Linked DNA regions of Rattus norvegicus. The protein of the gene in region 2 interacts with the protein of the main gene of each other region in a biochemical or structural test. Links are inferred from orthologs where the notes say so. Each region holds a gene or a part of one and is shown on either strand. Other genes may lie near its edges. The genes, in order: Asb7 and Psrc1.

The links.
Region 1: of the proteins of Psrc1 (region 2) and Asb7, one has a biochemical effect on the other in vitro, tested with the Homo sapiens proteins (2 studies listed by BioGRID, with this or other methods). The link is inferred for Rattus norvegicus from reciprocal best matches to the Homo sapiens genes PSRC1 and ASB7.

Annotation. Positions count from the first base shown.
Region 1 is NC_086019.1:129,642,192-129,654,806, forward strand, and holds part of Asb7 (ankyrin repeat and SOCS box protein 7), read right to left. Parts: intron 6,262-12,615; coding exon 5,656-6,261; coding exon of another isoform or gene 5,648-5,655; intron 1,252-5,647; coding exon of another isoform or gene 1,124-1,251; exon of another isoform or gene 1,013-1,123; intron 1-1,012. UniProt on the Homo sapiens protein: Probable substrate-recognition component of a SCF-like ECS (Elongin-Cullin-SOCS-box protein) E3 ubiquitin-protein ligase complex which mediates the ubiquitination and subsequent proteasomal degradation of target proteins.
Region 2 is NC_086020.1:198,708,784-198,720,042, reverse strand, and holds Psrc1 (proline/serine-rich coiled-coil protein 1), read right to left. Parts: upstream 9,495-11,259; 5' UTR 9,451-9,494; exon of another isoform or gene 9,409-9,450; coding exon of another isoform or gene 9,287-9,408; intron 9,124-9,286; coding exon of another isoform or gene 9,093-9,123; coding exon 9,074-9,092; intron 8,986-9,073; coding exon 8,928-8,985; intron 8,349-8,927; coding exon 7,910-8,348; intron 6,966-7,909; coding exon 6,851-6,965; intron 6,759-6,850; coding exon 6,522-6,758; intron 5,977-6,521; coding exon 5,859-5,976; coding exon of another isoform or gene 5,855-5,858; intron 5,665-5,854; coding exon 5,661-5,664; 3' UTR 5,051-5,660; downstream 1-5,050. Other genes in the region: Celsr2 (cadherin EGF LAG seven-pass G-type receptor 2 precursor), read left to right, coding at 1-16, 133-303, 399-633, 979-1,006. UniProt on the Homo sapiens protein: Required for normal progression through mitosis. Required for normal congress of chromosomes at the metaphase plate, and for normal rate of chromosomal segregation during anaphase. Plays a role in the regulation of mitotic spindle dynamics.

The DNA.
Region 1 (12,615 bases), on a different chromosome or scaffold from region 2:
GTGGATGGACAGTTTAGTTACCTGGGACCTGGCAATGTCTGCCATGTTCTGTGCATACTTGTGTCTGCAAACTTCCTCCAGGATCCAAGGTACTAAAATTCCCAACGGATAGAAACCACTTATCCTGAGTCAGCAAAGCCACAATTTTAATAAATGCCAGCCAGGAAGGAGGGGTCTCTCCAGAGCCTAAGCCACAGCATGCAAGTGTAAGGCAAGCTTGCAGCTCATCCAGATTTTAACTTTAATCAAAACTACATTAAGGATTCTTCAAATTCTAAAACACGAGGCTGAGAAGATACCTTGAAAAAACCTGAATGTATTGCTGGGCATGTAGCCTGGTGATGGTGGCCATGGACTGATTACTGACTATGTCCATAGCCCAGGCTTTGATCCTCAGCACTGAAAATGTGGAAATTCCACAGTGCTCCATTCATACTGCTTAGCTGAAAGATGCCTCTGTACCTTTACAATAGGAATCTTTCAAGGAACTCGTGCTTGAGTTGGTTATATTGGTCTATATTTACCATAATAGTGATCAGTTCATCAGCTGACATAATTTTTATGAAAACAAGCAAAAACCAGAGTCTCTTTCCAGAACAAGATGGCTTCGAAGAGAGTGCTGTTTCTCCTTTCCTACAAATGTTTGCCTTCCATCTGCTCTGAACTTCAGTGTGCTAGCCTGATGCAGTGTGCTAGCTTCATTCAGATATGTTGCTAGGAAAGCAAGAAATACTTAGAACAGCCTTTTCCAGATAACCTTGAGACAGTGAGCTTTTTTCTTTTTCAGTCTGGTGTGTGTGTGTGTGTGTGTGTGTGTGTGTGTGTGTGTGTGTGTGTTGTGTGTGTGTGTGTGTTGTGTGTGTGTGTGTTGTGTGTGTGTGTTTGTGTATGTGTGTGTTGTGTGTGTGTGTGCGTGTGTACACGCATGTGCACATGTGTGTATTGCACACATATGTAAGTTCATGTGTGTAGAGGCCAGCAGTAAATACTGTCTTCCTCACTGCTCCTTCACCTTAGTTTTTGAGGCGGGGTCTCTCACTAAAGCTGGAGAGCAGCAGCAGCTGGCTGGGAGCTGGCCAGGAAGCCCCAGGGAGCCTCCTGTCTTCACTGGCCTGGCGCTGGGCTACAAGAGCACGCTACCGTGCCCAGCTTTATCTGGGTGCTGCTTATCCAAACTGATGGATGTCTCCATGCTTGCTGGGCAAACACTACAGCTGAGCCGTCTCCCCAGTCCCAACGGTGATACAGAATCTGAAATACATTGATGAACTTTTTGTACGTTTAGATTATAGTCCATTGGTATATCTTAAACTTTTAGTGGGCCTTTTGCCCATGCACACAGTAACATAAATTAGTCATCAGAAACACATGACACACTAGGTTTTCACATTGTTAGCCAATTTCATTATATAATAGCAAAAGAAATCACTTTTCTTAATATTCCCACTGGTCTCAGACAATCATTACACAGGCAGACTCTCAGAACGTAAATAAAAAGTTTTAAAACCCCTCTTTTCAAAGCTCACGTCTGACTGGTCATCAATACTGTGGTCATTTTCCTTAATGTGACAAGTGAACTTTGTTCGTTTCTAAGAAAAGTCCTGCTAAGTGCCCACGATTAAACGGTATAGTTTGGCTGTCAGTCAATCTTTCAAAGAGAAATGGTTCTCCATGCAAAAGCTGCTAGTCCCACCCAGACAGACCTGCCACTTTCCTACTAAGCTGCCTTCCTCCACAGAGCATTGCTAAGGTATGTGCACAAAGGGACAAGACTCAGTTCAGTTATGTTTACCACTTTGTCCAGGACGTTTGTAGATGGCTGCAATACTCATGACTGAGGTTGCCTGGCAGTGATGAAAACAGTGATTATTATCAGTGCCACACCAGCCAGACTGTCATGCCAACCTGGAAGCAGTTGCCCTCCAAGATCTGGACCGTATGCCCCTAAAGCCTCCTAGAAGCTCATCCTTTGGAAAAACACAACAAATAAACAAAACCCAGTTCTCAATGCCTCCCCCACACACACCTTCTCTCTTCTCTCCTTCATCCCTCCCTCCCTTCCTTTCCTTTCTAGTAATAGAAAACCACTGCCTATAAAAGTGGCTAATGGCAAGAATTTGGTTCAGTTCTCCCATTTTTTCAAGGAGGGCACCAATCACTGTGGGGTGAGTCTAGGGGCTGAAGAGCTTGCCTAGGGTCACAGGCAAGCTACTTGTGGCACTTTGTAGCACCCCATTCTGCTGGTTTGATGGCATCTCTGATAACGGGCACAGCTGGGAGCCTGTGATGAAGGAGAGACAGGAATCCTCAGCAGCTCACAGAACTGAAGCTAGGAAGCTCGCACACTTCAAATTAAAAAAAAAAGGTAAACCCAGACGGACGACCCATTCCAACTCTCACAGGCATCGAGCTTAGACGCCATCATTCCTGAGTCCATAAGGCAGAGAAATTGCTCAACCTTAAAAACTAAGACTGATTTTGGAGCAAGCAAAAAGACTGAAGCTGTAGGTGGAGCACCTTCATCCGAAGCTCTGGAGATTAGGATCAGCCCAGTGTGCTTACCTGAGCAAAGGCTCATAGACAGCAACACTGGAGGCTATGAACGGACAGGAAGTCAAGAGCCAGTCAAAGGAAGCCCTGCCAGGTCATAAGTGAGACCAATAAAGCACCTGGTGACTATATGACAGAAGAGGGTGTGTGCAACCAGCCCCCCAATCCTCTCCATAAGTAAGGCAAAGACCCCCAGAGAACGAACATGTCTCCAGCTCAGCCTCCTCAGCTTCCTAGCTCACCTGACAGGACTGAAGGCAGAGCTACCAGACGGTAGGTGAAAGCACTGTGAGGGCTGCAGCCTGGGACACGGGCCTGGGACACGGGCCACCTACAATACTGGACATCAGTAACTGTAGCAGCTGCCCTCCGGTGTAATAGCAGAGGGCAAGCCTGAGGAGGAGTCAAGGGGGTGAGGGTGAGAGCGGAGGAGGGGAAGAAACACAGACTTGGGAGAACTTAGCACACTGGGCTACCTGCAGTCACGTAGAACACAGCCCCATGCCCATCCAGATGAAGAGGAAGCCTCCCATAAGACTATTAGAGGTGAGGGTATGGTGGCTCAAACCTATAATCCCAGCACTAGGGAAGCAGAGGCAGGGATCTGCTGTAGGTCTGCAGATAGCAAGGCACAAGCCAGGCTAGATAGCCAGGACCATCTCAAAAGGACCAAAATAGAAAACATTAAATTAAGTAAGGGTGTGTACATGCACACACTATTAACCTGAATTCTTGCTGCTCTTTACATCATGCTTAGCTTAAAAAAAAACAACAAAACTACCACACCACACAAGGCAAGATACAAAGAAAAAGAGCCAACCAGACTGAGGCATGAAATGGATGTTGCAATTACTGTAAGCCAGAGAACCTAGAGTAACTGTGACTGAAGGAAGTTCCAACTGCTGCCCTAATGAAGCAGCGGTTCTGAGGAGGTAAGGTTCCCTCCCACACACCGTGCAGAGATGGCCAGGTGAGGACCAGACAACCAAGAAAAGCCCTGACTCTACTAGCCTGGACCCAGCTTTGACTGACTCTGTTTTCTGAGCAAGGCCCTCTCTGACCTAAGGGGAAACATTTACAAGGAGGGAACCCTCCAGGTCCCAGGCTCTTCCATAAAGCAGCCTCACCAACCACACGCAGAGGCCGTCCCTTTCAGGTGCTGTACTCTAGCTGGTTTCCATACTGTAAGCACAAGCAACTGCAGGTCACCAACTCTATTTATTTTGTATTTTAGAGACAGGGACTTGTGACTGTGGCCCATTCCTACACAGCCTGCCTGGCTTTGAACCCCAAATCCTCTTGTCTCAGTGAGGTGTGTACCACCACACTTAGCTAACGGCCCTTTCCAAGAAGTGGCTGGGGCATCAGAGGGGCCGCCTGACCCAGTCATCTAGTCTATACTCCAAGCTGGTGGATTTCTAGATGGGCCATTGTCCCAAACTACAATTTCTCTGTAATAAAATCCCAGGCATGAAGTCATAAAAATCTCATCTTTTTAATATCAAAGTTCCTGTCAGTCACTACCTGAGGTTATGCTCTCTCGTAGAATTTCTGTCTTTTGGGAAGATTTTGCATTCCGAGGGCCGGCTCAGCAGCACCGCTCTCACAGAAGACCTGGGTTCTCCTGACATCCAGGAGACAGCTAACAACCCCAGGAGCTCTAGTTCCAGAGGACCCAGTGCCTTCTGGCCTTGTTGGATTCTATACACACATGGTACACAGACGTATAGGCAGGCAAAATACCCAAACACACTGAGTAAAATAAATACATTCTAAAAACACCCCATATTCTAATAACTCTTTGGTCTGTACTTAGGTCACCTACACAGCTTTATACTGTGGTGAAGGAAGACTGAGAACGAAACCCTCAGCTAAATCATAACTAGCTCCTCTCGTGGGCTCCTTTATCAGTTAACCCTAACCTCAGGTTGCGCTACACTTTGAATATTTACAGTTATATAATTGTACTCTTTCAACAATATTTCTTCTGCTCCCTTCCATCTGTATAAATAAGTTCCTCTTTTGGTTTAGGAAAGCATTTTCAGAATTTGCTTTCCCCATCAGCTATAATGCAACCCCAAAAACCCAAGCACCCCAGACCCTCCCTCCCGGCTCTGTAATTATGTCCATGTGGGCACATAGACAAATTGTCCCACTCTCCCTTGCTCTAGCCTGGCCTAGGGGAGGGGCAGTTCCTCTCTTCAGGGCCTAGGGCTGTGTGTCCTCACTGCCATACTGCCCGGTCACTTCACACACCTCCATGTCTTCTGGGACATGCTTACTTGCTCCACTCCGTGGCTTTTTAAAAACTTAAAACTAAAACTGGCCTCTTATAAATGATAATTAGAGGCCAGCCTTCCTTCTGTAATCAAGATCATATGGGGAAAGGCATTGAGACTCTGACCAGCACAGCAGAGTTAATCAAAGGTGCTTACAGACGTCACCTCTGCCTCACACATTTACCTGTGATACATACACTGAGCTCGCAGGGAAGCCAGATAAGAGAAGGCAGCAAAGCCCACGCAAGCTAACACCTCCCTCAGAAAACGATGTGGCCACCAGCTGCTGCTGAGTTAGACGAGTTAGACACTTGAAGGTGTAAATGAAGGGTCTCTCAGAAGCTGGGCAGACGCTGATGTAAGCCGTGTGGCCTGGGGACCTGTGGCCTAGGTCCTAGTGTTTTCACACATCTTCCTTCGCCTCTCTTACTGGGGCCTCTAAACAATCCAGAGTGGCCCTGCTTTCATGTAGAACTTAGTAAGGAAGTGCAAAATTGTCCCCATAGCTAAGCAATCTGAGACCCCACCCTTCTAATTCTCCATCTGAGCCTGCTGTCTCAGCCAGGATATCACTCAGACCAGAGGGAACCACCTTATTCTAACATTCAGCTCCATTCACTCTGAAAACAGTGTCTGTCTTGACCCTGAACTTTACCGTCCACTTTTAGTAAACCAACAGGGTTTTGGATAGGTGAGTCTTACTTACCAAGCAGGACTGATAAGAATGGCTAGCTTCTAGTCATCTCATATTACAAAAGTATGTCAAGCAACTCAGAAGGCGCGGGTTAAGGGGAAAGATGCAATAATAGCAGTAGGTGTTACATACTTGTGACGTCTTGTAAGAAATCCAAACACGGCCGACTACTTCCTGAAATACTTATGGAAACGGCCAGTGGGGTCTGACCTTCATAGTTCCTTGTGTTCGTGTCCGCTCCATAGTTATACAGCATCCGTGCGCAGAGCACGTCATCACGGAGGGCAGACAAGTGTAAAGGAGTCTGTCCGTCTTCTAGGCGCCCCAAGTTTGTGTCTGCTCCTCTCTGAAGAAACATGCGGCAGTAAGAATGGTTGCTTTTGATCACAGCGTAGCGCAGCAGGAACCCATTCTGGATGTCGATGTTGGCACTGTGGTCCAGAAGGATTCTCACACAGCTCGACCTCTCTCGGATGATAGCAAGCTGAAGTGGCGTTGTTCCTTTATCACTGAGCGGGTCGACCTCGGCCTTGAACTCCAGGAGGAGCCGGACAAATGAGTCCCTACCGTAGTGGGCAGCCACATGGAGGGGAGTCCAGCCATCATTGCTTTTTGCATTAATAATGTCACTCCTGTATTCAGACTCCAGCATCAGGCGTGCGATCCGGGCCCGGCCGTGCATGGCTGCGTAGTGCAGAGCGGTGAAGCCTCCGATTAAATCCTTAACCGTGGGATCAGCTAGAGTTAAATCAAAATGAAAACATCAGTGGCTGTGGAGACAGAGCAACTCTATGAGGACAGAGTTCTCAGGCTGAGCCAGTTATCACAGACTGTGAAGGGTTAAGTGCAATGAGTGATGCTAAGGCCTCCCCAGGCTCCGGTGGAAAGCACACTCTAGTAGAAACTATCAGGCCTAAGTCAACGGGAGGAGGAGGGAGATGACCAACACTGTTTAAAGATAGACCCTGCAGCACCTCACCCTCCTGCTGGCCAGCCTGCGACTGTTCAGCCTCTGATTGGGGCCTGATTCACGGCCCCTTTGTCTCCAGCTATTTTCATGCCTTTCCCTTGTGCTACTTCTTGCCCTAAAGGGAGCGTGTGCAGCAACACTGCTGCTCTGAATTGCAGTACCCTGTGTTCAGCTGGACTTGTTCTAAAATTTCATAGGGGTTGGGGTGGGTGAAGGCAAAGAATGAAGGCGCCCTATGCTCCATGAAAGCAGCAGGTGAGACCCATGCTGAGTGGCACGGCATGATACAGCATGCTTGTGAGTACCACGGGACTGAGCTCAGTTACAGGTGGTCCTGCGGCGTAACAGCAAGAACTTTATTTGAAAAAAAATGGAAGAAACCTCAGTACAATATAAACATTGCTTTAAAAAGTAAGTTTTAAAGACTCCTAAATTAACAGATCCCTTGGAAGAAAACTTCATAGGAATCATCTGCTCAGTGACTCTTTGAGCTACAGACCTTTGCCACCTACTCTGGCTTTTCCACGGTGCCAAAGGTCAGCACTTTGTGGCTCACATCCCACTGATATCCCTGCGCTGTAGGTGGAGCAGAGACAAGAACTGCCTCCCCCACATAGTGGATCCGTGTTCTGGAAGCGCATAAAGCAGTTGAGGGAGAACACCCAGGTGGGCCCAGTGACAAGCATTAAAATGCTCCTTACGCAACTCAGCTCTTATTCACATATCCGTGGATGTTTCTCACAGGCACGAAACGACTCCAAAGCTATGTGGTTAAATATTTATGTACTATTTAATAAGATCGTATTATTTAGTTCCAGACTACAACAGCTGGATTCTCTTACAAGAGGCTGTGAGGCAGAAAATGATATGCTGAAATATTAATAACACCGCAGTGGATGAAAACTACAGTTAAAGAGTTGTTAGCAAACAGAACCTGTACAAGTAAACTATTACTTTAGCTCCTCGTAATATCTGACACAAAGTGACAGATAACAACCACCCAACAACAACAAAAAAGAAGGCCCCAGCAATGCATGGCTTTAACTAAAGGATATTCAGTACCTAGGGCTATGCAACAGGCAAGCTAGAACCCTGATGCAAAGCACTCTGCTGCCATCTACTGGAAGAGTGTGGTCATGCACTAGTCATCTTTCACTACAAGCCAGAGATCTCAGACCAAACTGATGGGTCTTTTAGATAGACCCTGCTGTTATCTAGATGAAGTGACTGCTGGAGAGATGGCTCAGTGGTCAAGAGCTGTTGCTGCTCTATCGGAGAACCTGGACCCAGTTCCCAGCACTCATATCAGACATCTCATAACCACTAGCTTCTTCAGCTTCAGGGGAAGCAACGCCCTCTTCTGGTCTCAGCAGGGATTGCATGCATATACATAAATCCATATCCCCCCCCCGGCCCCCCCACACACACCCCACAATGAAAAAACGCTGTCTTTAAGCTGTATCTGGCCACATATTTCCAGATAATCCCTCTTGATCCTTCAGCGATCTTGGGAACCCCTCCCTCCCACCTTTGAAGGTGCAATACCCTCACCCACACACTGCAGTCATTCTAGTGGACAAGTCAAGCTGCAGAGCTGTAACGAAGTGTTGCACATTTAATGTTCACTGCATGTGTAAGGCTCCGCTCACATTCTAGTGCTACACTGAAGTAAGAAGACACAGATTCTCACACAGAACAGTAGCCTGACTCATCTCTGCACAAATCACTCAAATGAACCAACCAACTGCATCCTGTGAACAAAGGACAGAAGCAAGAACTAGAGGGTAATAATGCATAAAAACTATAGCCGCTGTCCCCAGGAAAAGGTGACAACATGAAACAGGGCATGTGAGGGTGCAAAGAAAATGCACTTCAGATCAGTCAGTGCGATGCAGTGAGAGCTCACTTGCAGCACCAACAAAGTCTGCAGGACAGTGGTTTGTGAGAAATGCTTAACGCACGTACAAAAACCGCTTAACTGCATTTCCTGAAGTTTATTGCAATTTGTCTTTATCAGTGAGATTTCTGAGTGCTCTGCCTAAAATAATCAACCCCAACAAGCTTCTCCTCCTCCTTGCCAGATACTCCGCCCACCAAAGAGACCCATTTTAACAAATGGTAGGTAACATTGTAATGTAAACATGGAAACAGACTGTGTTTAAAAAACAGAGACACATCACTGAGCTGCCCGAGATGTTCTCTAAAAGCTTTAGCAACTGGAAGTGAGATTTGTGTATCAAGGGCACAGGTTGATGAGCTCCAAGAATTCACACGGCCACATTAACTAAAAGCACTCAACATTCACAACACTTTTGTCCTCTCAAATTTTCCCCATGCCTTTTACAACCAACTTCCTACCTAGATTCTGGGAACAAGGCAGATCTTTCCCCATGCCTTTTACAACCAACTTCCTACCTAGATTCTGGGAACAAGGCAGATCAAGGACAAAACTTTGGGTTTGTAGGCTTTCTCTAGAAAGGGGTCACCTGCGGAAGTGAGACTGGCTAATCCACTTAGCACATGCTTCTGAGCAGGACTGCCTTATTTGCGATGGGAGGCTCTGGGAGCAATGCTATCAGCCATGTCTCTTCTTCATAACAGAAGGGAATGGTGGACTCTGATGTCAAGAAGCCGCTGTGCAGCCTGCTGTCGGTGGCTACCCTGCCACTGTCCTTGCCAGCGAGGCTCCATGGCATCAGGACCACTTTTAAGTTTGCCCATTAAAAGGGTAAATGATGAGCTGTGTGCCGTCAATTCACATTTCAGGGATCTAGAGAGCTGGCCTACTTGTACGCTTTCCTGTGGATTATCTGTCAGTGTCTACTCATTTCCGCTGGGACGTCCTTCTATGGAGTTATAAAGGTTTGCATATTCTGCACATGGGCCAAGTAAAGGATGCTTATTCATGGATTTATCTTTGCAATGCTGGAGACTGAACACAGACAAGCACCCTACCACTGATCTACACTTGGCTCTCCTTGATTTCATCAAATTCACTTTCTTTTTTTAAGCATTTCCTAGATTTCTGCTTTGCTAAAGAAAACTTTGCCCAACACAACACTACAAGTTTTCATTTCTTCTAGATATTCTAGATATTCTGTACTTTATCTAGATATTCTGTACTTTAAACCCATAAACATAGGTCAATGATCTACTAGTAGTTAATACTTGTATATGGTATAAAGTAAGATCAAGGTTCATCATTTGCCATATGGCTATCTACCTGTTTGCTAAAATACTTTCTTTACAAATTAGGGAGCATGGGGACAATGGACAGGTAAACGTGCTTAACAAGAGAATACGATAACCTGAGTTCTAGTCCTAGATTTCAGTGAGAAAGAAGAAAATGGACACCTAAGGAACTAAGGTGTCTGCAGATCACTACGTGTACACACACACACACACACACACACACACACACACACACACACACACACACACACTATCCCCTCTGCTTAGACAAACACAAAGAAATATTTTTTCAATGATTTACCCTGCCTTTGCTGAAACTCATTTTATCATATTTCTGAATTATTCCATTTATCTAAAAATACTTCCTAGTTGGGTATGGTAGCACAAACTCAAAGATGGTGGCAGAAGGACGGTGAGTTTGAGGCCAGCCTGGGAACAGGTTCAAGGTCAGAATAAGCTAAGTATCAAAGCCCATGTCAATGGCACTCCAGGGATGAAGCTCAGTGGCATCAGGCTTACCCAGCATACACACGGCCCTTCGTCCAACCCCAGTATACAGAAAAAGATGCAATTGAACAAGAGTTTTGACCATGCCAATTCCAGACTGCTAACTATTGTAGCTTTGCAGCATGTCTGATATCGGGTAGTGTTAATTCCTCCAACTGTTCTAAAACTTATTTCAGCTAATACATTTTCAAGGTACATTTTTAGTTTCTTCATACAAGCCTGGCCTAATTTTTACTGTTCTAATTCCACCAACTTTACAGATGGCAAACTTCCCCAAATGATCTAAATAATACTAATTTTCCATGTAATGAACACAAAGACTTCTCTACTTTTTTACAACTTCTTTAATCCACCCCAGCAATGTTTCATATAGACAATATATTTAATTAAAATTACTATTAAAAACCTTAAATTGTTGCTATTATGGGCTGCTACTTCATCCTCCAGATGTTAACTGATGGCAGAACTTGAGTTTTGTAATACTGGTCTACAATCTAGTTCCATACATACTTTTAGTTTTCATACATTATGTGTGTGTGTGTGTGTGTGTGTGTGTGTGTGTGTGTGTGTGTGTATAGATAGATAGACAGATAGATGTGTATACATATATACATACAAATGTACACACATATACACATCAAGACAGTTTTACTTACACTTTTGATTTGCTATTACTAGTGTATGATACTGCGGAGACACATGCCAAGAACTGCTTATGAAGGTCAACTTCCAGGAGTCAGTTCTTTCCTTCCAGGGATCAAATTCAGAGCATCAGGTTTGTACAGCAAGTGCTTTTGAGCCATCTCGCTGGCCAGTAATGCTTTCACTTGTTCCTCTGTAATTGGTGTATTGGTCTTTTACTAAGAACATGTTGCATACAAATAATGAAAGCACACAAACTGTTCAACACTAAGTGTGAAGCCAGCTGCAGCTTCTCCTGGGTCCCTTCTGAGCTGCAGTCTTGCTTGCATCTTGAACAGGTAGTGTTGTCACAGGCTGTTAAGTGACCCTTTGGCACTTATCTTTGATTTAGCAAATGGCTCAAGGGTTGTGGATATTAAACAAACCTTGAATTTCTGATAAATGCTACCTAGCCATGTTGTAATACCCTTTGGAATGTTACTGGCCTTGCTACCAGATAGATGCTACCTAGCCACGCTGTAAGGCCCCTTAGCTAGTGTCTACTGGGAACCTGTGTTTGCTGCCCTAAGGCTGCTGCTCTGCGGCTTGTTTTCTGCCTGTAGCTTTGGTTTTACAGCAGGACATCACACTGCACAGTGAATTAGGTAGCGCCCCTTCCTCTAAAGAACGTATGCGGGATTACTGTTTGTGCCAGCAATATACAGAGCAAGCAAAGCGACTGGGCCTGGAGCTTTCTTAGTAGACGTTTTAAGAGGAAATCAAATTTTCAACTGTATAAACAATGACTAAGTCATTCTTTTTCTGTGGGTCACATAAAATTTTGGCAATTTGTATTTTCCAAGGAATGGAATTCTCTATGACATGAAGCTCACCACATTCCTAGATTTTGTTTAACATCTATAGCATCTGGGCCAGAGTCTGTTCCCAGCCCCGAAATTGGTTATGGCTTTCCTCATTTTCAGTCTAGCTACAGTTTTCAATTTTATTGACCTTTTCAAAGAATTACTTTTTTCTTTTATCTCCCATCAATTTTGCTCCCTTTCTATTAGACTGGGTTTTGTTTTTTCCCTTTTTAAAAATACTTTCTTATATTTTTAATGTCATCACAATTACATTATTTCCCCTTTCCTTATGGTTCCTCTAAACTCTCCCATACACCCTCCTCAGTCTTTTTCAAATTTATGAGCTCTGTTTATTAATGGTTATTACAGGCATGTGTGCACATGTATATTCCTATATCTAACCTGTCAGTATGTTACTTGTATGTCTGTACTCAGGCTGTCCACTTGGCATTAGATAAGTTGGTATGTTCCTCCTGGGGAAGACGGTTCTCCTGACCTTAGCCTTCCTTGGTTGCCTGTAGCTCTGGTGTTGGGTTGAGGCCTCGTGGTTTCTGTCTGCTTTGGCATGTCTGTTATTAAGCTCATGCTTAGAGTCATGTTAGTGAGGGTCTTAAGGATGTGACTTCTGCTAATACCAGGAGACACAATCTTAGAGCCAATTCCTGATCCTCTGGCTTCTACAATCTTTTCAGATCCTCTTCCTCGAGATTCACAGACCCTTCGGTGGGGGAAGTCATCCTGGAGATCTATCCAGTGGGAGTGGGACCTACAACTTCTCTGTTGCAAAGGGAAGGTTCCTCAATGAGGGTGAGGACTATACTTATCTGTGGGCATAAGGACTATGCTGGCCTAGTAAAGTGGCAGTTGCATGCTCTCCTCTGAGATCCATAACTTCACTAGGTCTTGGTAGTTGGCTAGGTTTCCAGTACCAGGCATGGT
Region 2 (11,259 bases):
CACAGTACCCCCAAGGGTGGGCCAGCACCAGGGCTGCAGCCATTGGGGGGGCAACGGAAGCCTAAGAGGCTAGGGCTTCTTGGCTATCCTGTCTACCCTCTCTGGGACTCATAGGCTTCCTTTCTTTGACAGATGGGGGTCCAGGGTCTGGGAAGGTCCCTTGGCCAGGAGACTTTGGGACCACAACAAAGGAGAATAGTGGTAGTGGGCCCCTTGAAGAGCGGCCACGGGAGAATGGAGATGCTCTAACTCGGGAAGGGTCTCTGGGACCCCTTCCGGGCCCTTCTACCCAACCTCACAAAGGTTAGTGAGGAGTCTCCTCCATCTGCTTCACTCTCGCATCCTCTTGCTGGAATTTTAGAATGCTCCATCTCATGGTACCCACACCTCTTACCCAGGCATCCTCAAGAAGAAGTGTCTGCCCACCATCAGCGAAAAGAGTAGCCTCCTAAGGTTGCCCCTGGAGCAGGGCACAGGGTCTTCCCGGGGCTCCACCGCCAGTGAGGGCAGCAGGAACGGACCTCCTCCACGCCCACCACCGCGCCAGTCTCTCCAGGAACAGCTGAATGGGGTCATGCCCATCGCCATGAGCATCAAGGCAGGCACTGTGGATGAGGACTCTTCTGGCTCCGAGTGAGTAGGGTTGGGTGGGAGGGGCGGGGCGTTACCTGCAGAGGTCCTCGCCGGCCCAGAGCTGCCTCGGCCTCACCAGGCTACTCTGCTTGCCACTTGAAAGAGTTAGTTGGGCTTAGTGGAGCCCAGCTCCCTTGTGCGCCCAGACAACATGGTGCTCTGTTGGGGGTGTACCAGACCCCCTGAGCTTTATGTGCAGCCGCCCGGCCGCAGTAGTGCGAGAGGGTGGGAGCTGGGGCTGCTTTTCTGTTTCTTTCTCTGGTGGAAGCTGCTCACTGTCCCCTCTGTTGCTCCAGCTAACCCTCTGTCTGCCTTCTCTGCCGCTCTCCTCTCCTGCCTCTCCAGATTTCTCTTCTTTAACTTCCTGCATTAACCCTGGGCCGGCGTTCCTTCGTCCCCTCCCCACGCTGCGCTCACGCCCCAATCCTGTCTTCTGCTTTATCCTGCCCCTGCTCCCTACCTCCTGCCTGCCTGCCTGCCTGCCGGAGCAGCAGCGACGGACCGTCCATCTGAGGAGCCTGGGCCTTGCACCTATAAGGCCATCTAGTGCCAAGTCTCCCCCCACCCCTCAACCTCCCCTTCACTGCACTTTGGACCCTTGGGGGCCAACATCTCCAAGACAAAGTTTTTCAGAAAAAAAAAAAAAAGGAAAAAAGAATTTTAAAAAGGATCTCCACTCTTCATGACTTCAGGGATTAATTTTTTTTTATACGCTGGAAATGGATTTCCCTTTCCCTTCCCAAAGAGGATAGGACCTCCCAGGATGTGTCCCAGCCTCTCTTCAGTTTCATCTGCTGTGCCTCTGGGAGGAGAGGGACTCTTAGGGGTCCTGCCCCTCATTTGCCATCACCAAAAGGAAAGGACAAAGCCACACCCACCAGGGGTTGGAGCCCCTGCAAGGCTGCACCAGCAGGCTGCACCGGAAGGACGGACAGGACAGAAAAAAAGGCACTTCCCACCCGCCAGTTCCACCTCTCCCAGGAACTGAAAAGCCCTGTCTGGCCAGGGGCAGAAGGACTCATGGCCCCTGGATCCCCCAAATGCTGCATGAACCGTTTTTTAAGGGGAAACCTGTGCCCCCGTGATGGGGAATGACAACCCCAGCCCCTCTCCTTTTCCTGGACTCTGGCCGAGTGCTACAGTCCAGGTGTTTGCTCAGTTCGCTGACCCCAAAGTGCTTCATTTCTCCTGCCCAACCTTGTAGGGAGGGCCAGTCACTGTTAAGTTGCGCTTCTTTGCTGTGTGGGCGGGCACCAGGAGGAACGAGGAAGCACAGAGCTGGCTTGGTGGCCCTGAGGGGCCTCGAGCACAGGTTTCAAGTCTGGGTTCTGGTGTCCACTCACCCCCTCCCCGCCAAATCAGACAAATGCCACTTTGTCTGACCTGCTGTGGCCTCTGAGACATGTTCTATTTTTAACCCCTTCCTGGAATTGGCTCTCTTCTTCAAAGAACCAGGTCCCCCGTTCCTCGTTGTCCCCCTACTTGACCCCAGTTCCCTGCGAAGAGAGAGTTAATATATTTTTTATTTATTTGGTTTTCTTTTTGTGTGTGTTGGGATGGGTTTGTGTCTGGTCCCAAGGGGTCTCATGTGGCCACCCCCAGGCTGGGTGCGTACCTGGCAGCCCTGGATTTGGGGCCTACCATCCTTCCTCTTGCTCCACTTACTCCCCTCGGTTCTTACCAGCCACCGTTCACTCGAGCCACCCTTCCCTCTGAGCATGTATTCCGGACTTGTCACTGACTTCCCCTTTAGAGCAGGTGGTAGAGTGAAGGCTCTCAGCAGGAAAGGTGTTCCTGCCCCTCACCTGGAAGGCTGGCCTCTGGCTTGTCTTCCATGGGTTCTCACCTGCCCTCTGCCCTCTCCCCTCAGCAATTCCTGTAAAGGGTTAAAAATTTAACTGGATTTTTTTTTTAAACTACTGATGACTTGACTTAAAAAAATACAAAGATACTGGATGCTAACTTGATACTAACCATCAGATTGTACAGTTTGATTGTTGCTGTAAATATGGTAGAGTTTTGTTTTTGTTTTGTTTTTCGCCCCCATACTACTGAATAAACTAGTTCTGTGCAGGAACCGTGCCATCACTGGCTTCTGTATAGCAGCCTTGGGCAGAGGCCTAGATTTTGGGAAACAGTTTAGGGAGAACCTTGAAGATTCCAAGGACAGAGAGACTAAAGCCTTATCAGCAGACCTTGAAGGAAGAGAAGACGGGTGGGTAGGTGGGTATTTCCCTCTCCTAAGATAACAGACTTGTATGCTGGAGAGACTACACAGAGAGCTGAAACAAGTGTTTTTAGGGCAGAATTCAGTAGAAAGGAAGGAATGAGAGTGAGAGTTTCTGGGGGCTTGTTTTCTTTTGCTTTTTGGGTTTTTTTGTTTTGTTTTGTTTTGTTTTGAGACAGGGTTTCTCTGTGTAGCCCTGTCTTCTCTGAAGCTCACTCTATAGATCAGGCTGGCCTCAAGCTCAGAGATCCGTCTGCCTCTGCCTCCCAAGTGCTGGGATAAAGTGTACCAGCACCACCTGGCTCTTGGGGACCATTGTGTTGTTTGTTTTGTTGGGGAAATGAAGCATATACTCATTCTGGGGACAAGCATGCTTGGTGACACTTCTAGTCTTACACATTTGTTTTTGAAAGGTCCAACCAACAAAACAGGGTTGATATATGAGCCACATGAAGGAGCCTGATTTGTCTGAGCTTTGGTTCCTCTGTGTACAAAACAAGGACGGTGGTAACAGCATCGGCCTAATTGAGCTTTTAGGAGGATTGAATAACTTAACACATGCAAAGTGCTTACAATTTTTCACAGTGCATAGCAACACTGGCTTTTCCTGTTGTTGCTTGTGGAGTGGAAGGGGTGTGGTGGGGAGAGAGCAAGTTAGAAATCCAAACCAGAGGGGAGGAGGCAAGCAGGTAGCTAAACAAGAAGGGCAGCTGTGGCAGGTAGGCACTACCGAGTGAATGCCTCTTCAGCAGCTTTAGAGCCAGGGAGCCCTGTGGGGTGGAGGTAGAAACTCAATATTGACCCAGCAAGAGAGAACGTGCCTTGCCCACTCCAGCCACCAGGTGGCAGCAACACGAGGGTTTGTGGCTGACTTTGCTTCACCACCTACAGGGGCTTGGCTCAAAAACCAAACAAAACCAGCCAAACAAAACCAACCTGCCACCTACTGGCCATGCCTAGGTGTGTGTTCTTAGGCTTGCAGCTACTACAGATCCAGTTAGGGGGGGAGGTTGCCAGCAACTCCTGTTCCTGGAGTTCTGTGCGGTGATTTATCCACTCAGATGGAGGCCCAGGAGATCAAGAGGACCCTGCTACAACTGGCGGGTAAGGTTGCCCTCTTTATAGCCCATCCAATAGACCTCCCCCTGGACTAGGCTGTTTGAAGGAAGAGGAGGTAGGCAGGAGTCTGGGAAACACCGGAGGCAAGAAAGCCTGGTGACACATTTGTTCAAAACACAACCCATGGCATCTGTGTATTCTCTCCCTCCCACAGGTCAGCTCTGAGAATTTCAGTGGCTGTAGAAACTGGTGTTCCAGATTCAGGGAAAGGGGAACGCAGAGGCGCACTGCTGTGTGTCTGTCTAGTCTCTATGCACTTAAGAGTGTATTAAATGAATCTTATGGTCAGCCATAGAAGAGGGTATGCTACGGAGGGCCCCTGATGGTGGGGACGGGGAAGACCGAAGGCCTAGGAGCACTTATGGGCACAGGCATGGGTGGACACAGTTGCCAGCCACCGGCTACTCCTCCTCCTCTGCTTAGTTACCTTTAGGAGAGTTTCTTCCTCATAAAGGGCTGATTTAGCTCTGCCTGCAAGTGTCAAAGGTTACAAACCAGGAGGAGGTCCTAAGCTGGACTTGTTAGAACCGTGTCCTGTTTTCAGTAAATACCAACCACCATGTGCTCATTCTATATGAGTTCAGTGCTCCACCCTGGACAAGGGCACAGGGAACATTTCTCAATTCTGATGCCAGTCCTCAAATCCAGTAGGGGAGCAGAGAAGGGAGCACAGACAACTCTAATGGTGTGAGGCAGATACTACTAGGCCTTCTGAGTCCGGCTGAAGCAACCTCAGAAACTGAACACCAACAAAGGGCCTCCTTATCCCCCAAGGGGTTCCACTGTCTTGTTAGAAATAATAGTGAAGTTTAAGATAGGAGTAACAGTAGACTTAGTTCCCAGCCTAACAGCCTCAGGCGCTGTAGATGAAGCTACAGTCAACTTTGAGCTGGACTATCTGTAGACATTAAACTGCAGAAAGGAGGCTTGAACCGGATCAAATGGCAACAAGGGACTAGTCACAGCTGGATGAGCTGGAGGTTGAAAGCCCTAGGGTCTATGTCTGGGGGAGGTCTCACTAGAATTACACAGATGTTTACTTTAAAAAATGTTAAAATCTACTTTTAGGTATAAAGAAAAACATTTTTAATTCATTTTATTTAAGAAAAAATATGAAGATGTGAGCTTATAACTGATTGGCCTGTGAGAGGTCACAGAATTCATAGGAAACAAGTTCTGCACACCAGCTGCCCTCTGGCCTTTCCAAACAAGCCAGAATCCAGTGAAGGAAGCCAGTCAGGAAGACCTGTCCTAGAGCCCAGGAAGACTGGCCGGTTCCTAAGGCCACTTCTATGGAAACAGCCAGTGGTCTGGGCAGAAGGTCAAGCTCTCTAGGCCTGACCACAAGATGGAAGGAGGCAGATAGGTCACTCTGCCTGCATTCATCATTTTGTTTGTGAATTTCTTCACGGGGGTGGGGGGTGGGTATGTGTGTGACCTCTGCCTCTCCCTTCTTCCTTCAGGCAGGGTCAGGGGTGTGTGTGGGGGATTTGAGTCTTCTCAAGTTCCACCCACCCCACCTCCATGGTCTCTACTTCAGAGATCAGCCTTGGAGGCACCTCTTCCTCCCATCTCTGGGCACGAATCACTGGAGTTAGGGACCGCTGGCAGGAGAGTCCAGCCTTTGATGGCTAAGATGTAGTGGCTTGCTTTTCAGTCTTTGTTTGCTGCCCTGATCTTCTTACCTGAAGACAGAGAGGGGTCTGCTTTAGGACACCTTCTTCCTCTTGAGCCTATCTGGTACCCAGCCAAGGTCACACCCCTCAGGATGGGGGAGAGCAGTGCCCTCTCCCCTCTCTTCCCCACTCCACACAAAATCCAAGGATGCTGCATAGCAGCTTGGAAGCTGGGGCGATGAGAACAGAGGAACCAGTCTTACCTCGTGGGTCCAGGGACTGCAGCTTTCCTGAGGGGCTGCACCCTGCCTCGAGCGGCACTGGAGGTCCTGCCTCGAGCAGCACCAATGGTTGGAAGATTTGTTCGCTGGGAAACAGGAGCTTGAGGGGGATTAACAAGAGATGAGTCAGAGCCAAGCTCAGCTGACCTCATCAGAAGGAAAGACTGGATGAAGTTATGCACTTCCTAACCAAGATAAAACTGGGAGCTACGTGGAAAGCAAGGTGCTCCCTCCTTCAGTTTTCCTAGCTGAAGTAGTGTCACAGCAGTTAAGCTGTAGGGGGGTAAGGTCAAGCTGGGTCACAGCAGACATTCTTCTATCTAAGGTCCTCTGTTTCATTTTGTTTCCTTGATTTTTGAGACAGGATCTCCCTATAATAGCTATGGCTGTCCTGGAACTCACTCTGTATACCAGACTGGTCCTGAACTTACAAATCTGCCTCTGCCTCCCAAGTGCTGGGACTACAGGCATGGACCATCATGCCTACCTCTAATTTTTTTTTTCTTTCTCTCTTGAGACATGGTTTGCTATAGCTAAGGCTGACCTTGAACTTCTTATTCTCTGGCGCCTACGCTCCGAGTGCTGAGACTGCAGAAATGTGCTGCTGTGCTTAACCTGACCATTAGCCCGTCCACGCTATCTTACCTCTGTGCCCTACGGTGCTTGGATGCCCTTTCTGAGTTGGGAGAGGATCAGGAGCTAGGGCACCTTTGCCAGCCGGTATACTCCGTCCAGTGAGTGGCATTCGGATGGCAGGCTTGGGGATGGCTGAGGGAAATGGTAGTCGACTTGAAGACTTGGCAGCTGCTCCCTGCAGCCAGGAAGAGCACTGGGAGTTGCTAGCTGAGGACTGTGGAGCTGGCCTGACAGGGATTGGTGGGCCTGTAGACAGGAGTATACACATGTCAGGGTGGGTCCCAGCTCCTCTCGCCCCCTTATCAGCTTCACCCACATCTGTGCTGCCCAGGTCTCACTTGCTACTGTCCGTGCGCCGGACCCAGTTTTCCGCCGAGGAGGAAGAGTTGGTTGTGCAAGAGGAGAACGCCCTGGGTTTTTGGATGCAGAGAACAGATTGCAAGTGGGTGATTCCTGAAACAGAACAAGGAACAAAAAAAGGATTAGAATGGTGACAGGATGTGTATGCTGCCTTAAGGCATTAAGGAAAGGAGATAGGCGGTAGGGCGTTGTCTGGAACCTGTGAGGAAGACACCAGCAAGATCTGTGCTAGGCGCTTTCTTTCTTCCCTTCTCTTTCTTCCTTCCTATCTCTCTCTCTCTCTCTCTCTCTCTCTCTCTCTCTCTCTTTCTTTCTTTCTTTCTTTCTTTCTAAGCATAGTTTCTCTGTGTAGCCCTGGCTGTCCTGGAACTCACTCTGTAGACCAGGCTGTCCTCAAACTCACAAATTCACCTGCCCCTGCCTCTAGAGTATAGGGATTAAAGGCGTGCCGCCGCCGCCGCCACCACCACCACCACCACCACCCAGTTACTTTCTTTTTTTAAAGTCATTTTATATTCATTTATTTACTGTGCGTGACATACACATATATGGCACATGCATGTGGAAGTCAGAAGACGCTGTGTGGGAGTGTGCCCATTATGTAGGGAGTCCTCACATGTAGGTTACAGAGAGGGCTCATCAGCCCTGATGGAAAGTGGTGTTATCAGGCCATCTTACCAGCCTTACTATTTTTTGAAATGAGGGAGTCAAGTGGCCCACGTTGGTCTCAAGTTCGGCATATAGGTCCCTGTGGATGACCTTGAATCCCTGATCTTCCTGGCTCTATCTCCAGAGTCTTGGATCACAGTATGTACTTGTTCTTTTACATTAGTCATGTGATGCTGGGGAATCCAACCCAGGGCTTTGTTTGGGCTAGGCTACGTCTGGCTGTGTCTCCAGCCCTGTTTACTTAATCCTAAGAATCTCAGGGGTAGAATAACTGTCTCCCTCTGCCCAGGAAGAGAACCACGCTGTGCCTTCAGTGTCTCCTGCACTTGGTGTAGGTGCACGCACGCAATTCCACCCTCCGCACTCACCTTCTTTATACTGGAGGGCTTCTTCCCAGCTGTCACCCGACCAGCTCTGGCTGACCCCTTTTTATCACTGCTCCGGAGCCCAGTTAAGTTGCTTGGAGGTGGGGCACTCCAAGAACTCACAGTGGGCAGCAGATCTCGGACAGGGCTGTCCTTTAGGACAAATGTCTCCCGCCGAGGGCTGGGTTTCCCTCTGGGGCTGGGCCTCCCAGGGCCTGCGGCAGCATTCTCGCTGTCTTTCAGGGCACACTCCTCTAGCTGAGCTGCCAGGCGGTTGGCTTCATCAAGGATCTCCTCCAGCTTCTCTGGGCTGAGCGGGCCTAAGCTGAACCTCACACCCTGGAGGGCGGGAGCTACTGCGTTTGGGTTACTCCGATGGGAGAGGCCGCGTCGGAGTGGTTTCTCTGGACTCACTAATACTGTGATGTCTTCTTCCTCGTGACTGAAAAAACAAATATGGCACCATGCTGGACAACAGAGAGCAGAAGGCATTCCTGTAGATGACTCGGGGACAGTCCCAAACCCTGACTCCGTTTTGGCCATTAGAACTGCACTTAGCTGAGGAAAACTTGGTTCTGGGAGGCCCTGCAAGTCTTTAGCGTCTCCTGTTTTCTTTTCATTTCTACTCCCCACTTTCTGAGACAAGGTCTCAACTCTGTAGACCAGAATGATCTCAAATTCAACTCTCTGCATTCCCTCTCCCTCCCTCCCTCTCTGTACCCTCTTCTATCCTGGGGTGCGGAGGTGGGAGGTGGTCTGCAGGGCATGTCTCAACATGCCCAAGCACATTTACTCTTCGTTTACATTTACCCCTAAATTTCCCTCCATCCTCTCCCTTCTCCTCACCAGCATGCAGAGATGTATCCTAGAGGCCCAATTCTCCCAGACTGCGGGCACCAGAGCATACTATACTCTGCTAAATCACCAACCACGGTTCTTGAGGTCAGTAAGTTAGCAGTAAAGGTTACAGATAAAGATGTATTGTTGGAGGGAGATAATAAATGGATAAATTGACTGGTACCTGTCAGATGGGGACAGCCCTCCAAAGTCCAAGGTCTCATCCACGATGAACTTGATATCTGAAGGGATAAGAAAAATAAATGCCAGCTCTCAGTTCTTGACAGACAGATTCTGAGGGCCTCGTTCCTCCCTCCATGGCTTCCTTACCCTCTTTCAAATCCTCCATGCCCAGCCAGCATAAGCGAGTCAGCTTAGACCTGAAAGACAACATGCCTATCTTAGCGCCCCATCTAGACTCGGGGTGCATTAGCTGGGGTGAAGAGCCATGGTGGTGGGAAAGCAAGATCACTGGAACAGCACGTGCCCCTGAAACTAGTCGGTTATAATAGGGAAAGAGGCAGAAAGCTCGTGCCCCAACACCTGCAATCCGCCAATTTGCGCCCTGGCCTCTCCTCAGTCTGGCAGTCTCCACCTCCATCCTTATTATTATCCGGAATTTTCCTCCCCCTACCCCGGCCATCTTCCACTCCGCCGCACCACATCCCCGCCACACCTCCAGCGCACACTCCGTTTCCACTTCCCACCTCGCCTCAAGGTTTACGCAGGAAGCTTTTCTTCTACAATCTCCTAGTTCCCGGGAATAGGCTCCCGAGGGGTGGAGCTTCGTTCGAATTTCTTAGGCCCCGCCCACTCCCGCCACCAACGCACAGCGATTGGCGGGTCTACGGGGGCGGGGCTGAGGCGGGAGCTGTCGGGACGTCAGTCGGAGAAATTTGTCCCTTGGATCGAAGCGCACTTCCCAAAAAAGACTCCTGGGGGAGGTGGGGGGGGTACGGTGGGGGTGGCGGGAGGAGCCGCGAGTGCGCGGTGGCGCGTTCGGGAGCGCCTCCTTTTAGCCGCGAGCCGAACAAGGAGAGAACTGCCCAACCAACATGGGCTTGGAGCCCCGCCTCTTCTCCCACCCCATCTCCTGGATTCCAGGCTCAGGGTTTGGGGCTCGCTGCTGGGTTTCTGGCTTACTTGCAGAGGCCACCAAATAGACCATTTCTCCAGCACCTGAAGCACAAGAATTCTTCATTTAGCACAAGATCACTTCTCTGAGATAATCTGATATTTTTTCTTTCTGCTTCAACCACGACCCCAAAACGATGACTGTGAACAGCTATTTAAGGGTCTGACAAAGAAATCATGCTTCCAGGCACACAGTAGGTAGTAAAAATAATAAAAGATTTCAGGGCAATGCTCTCTAAGTGCAAAATGGATTGCCTATCGCTAGGGATCTTGTTCGTGTGAGGATTATGTTCCTTCTTCAGAATGCTGGAGACCGTGAACTTTAATGGTGGGCCCATGAAAAGTTCAGCAGATCCTTGGGGCACAGTCACCTTCCACCCTAGCCCTGCTTCAAGTGGAAAGAAACCTTTACTGTTGTGAGTGTTGTTAACTGGCTATGACCTGACTGACCACTCTTTTCCATTCATTGATACACACGCATGCACACATATACCATCTCTTTCGTTCCCCTTTATATGTAGCTCACACGGGCCGTGAATTCACCATATAGCCAAGGATGATGTTGAAATCCTGCGTCTACCTCCCAAGTGCTGGGATTAAAGGCCTGTGCCACTATCCTGTGGATCATCCTCGAGACAGCTCCAAATGTCTTCAGGAGTTCTGTTGTGCATCCTCTGGAAAGACCATCACGGCTGGGCCTGTGGACTGTTTACCTTCCCTCATAGAAGGAAGAGATGGGGCGGAAGGTCATGGACCTTCACTTGAGTATGCAGCCATCCCTCTCAACCAACTGTATGCAATTCTGTACTAATGACACGTGGTTTGGGGGGAGGAGCTAGAGGGTGTAAGTGGGGAGAGGCAAGGGGAGGGCTCCTCAGGGAAGTCAACATAGCTGCTGGATTCGGACCTTCCAGGGTGACTGCTTCAAGGGCCTACCACCCCCCACCCACTGCTCTGCAAGTAAGCTTACGAAACTGGTTCCTCTGGATAAACTCTGGTGGATTCCTACGCTTGTCTTTGGGACCTTGAGAGAAGGGGTAGGCATTGTTTATGTCTCTCCCAGGAAAGACATTTTAGCAGCAGACACCAAATCTGGCAAGCTCTTACAGCTTCAAACCGGTGCTCCCTAAGGACAATAGATTTGCTAATTGTTTTCTCAGTTTTCCCAGGGCTAGTTTGTAAGTAGCAATGCTTTAGTAGGGTAAGGAGCTAATTTACAACACATGGTAGGCATCAGCGCGCAGAAGCTTCATTCTCCCAGAACTTCACTGAGAAGGGCGGAAGAGAATCAGCCTCAGAGTGAAAGTAGATCTCTTTGGTTTGAAGAAAAAAAAGGCTTTGGACACTTCTGAGCCAATCCACATCCCTTTCCTTCCCCCAAA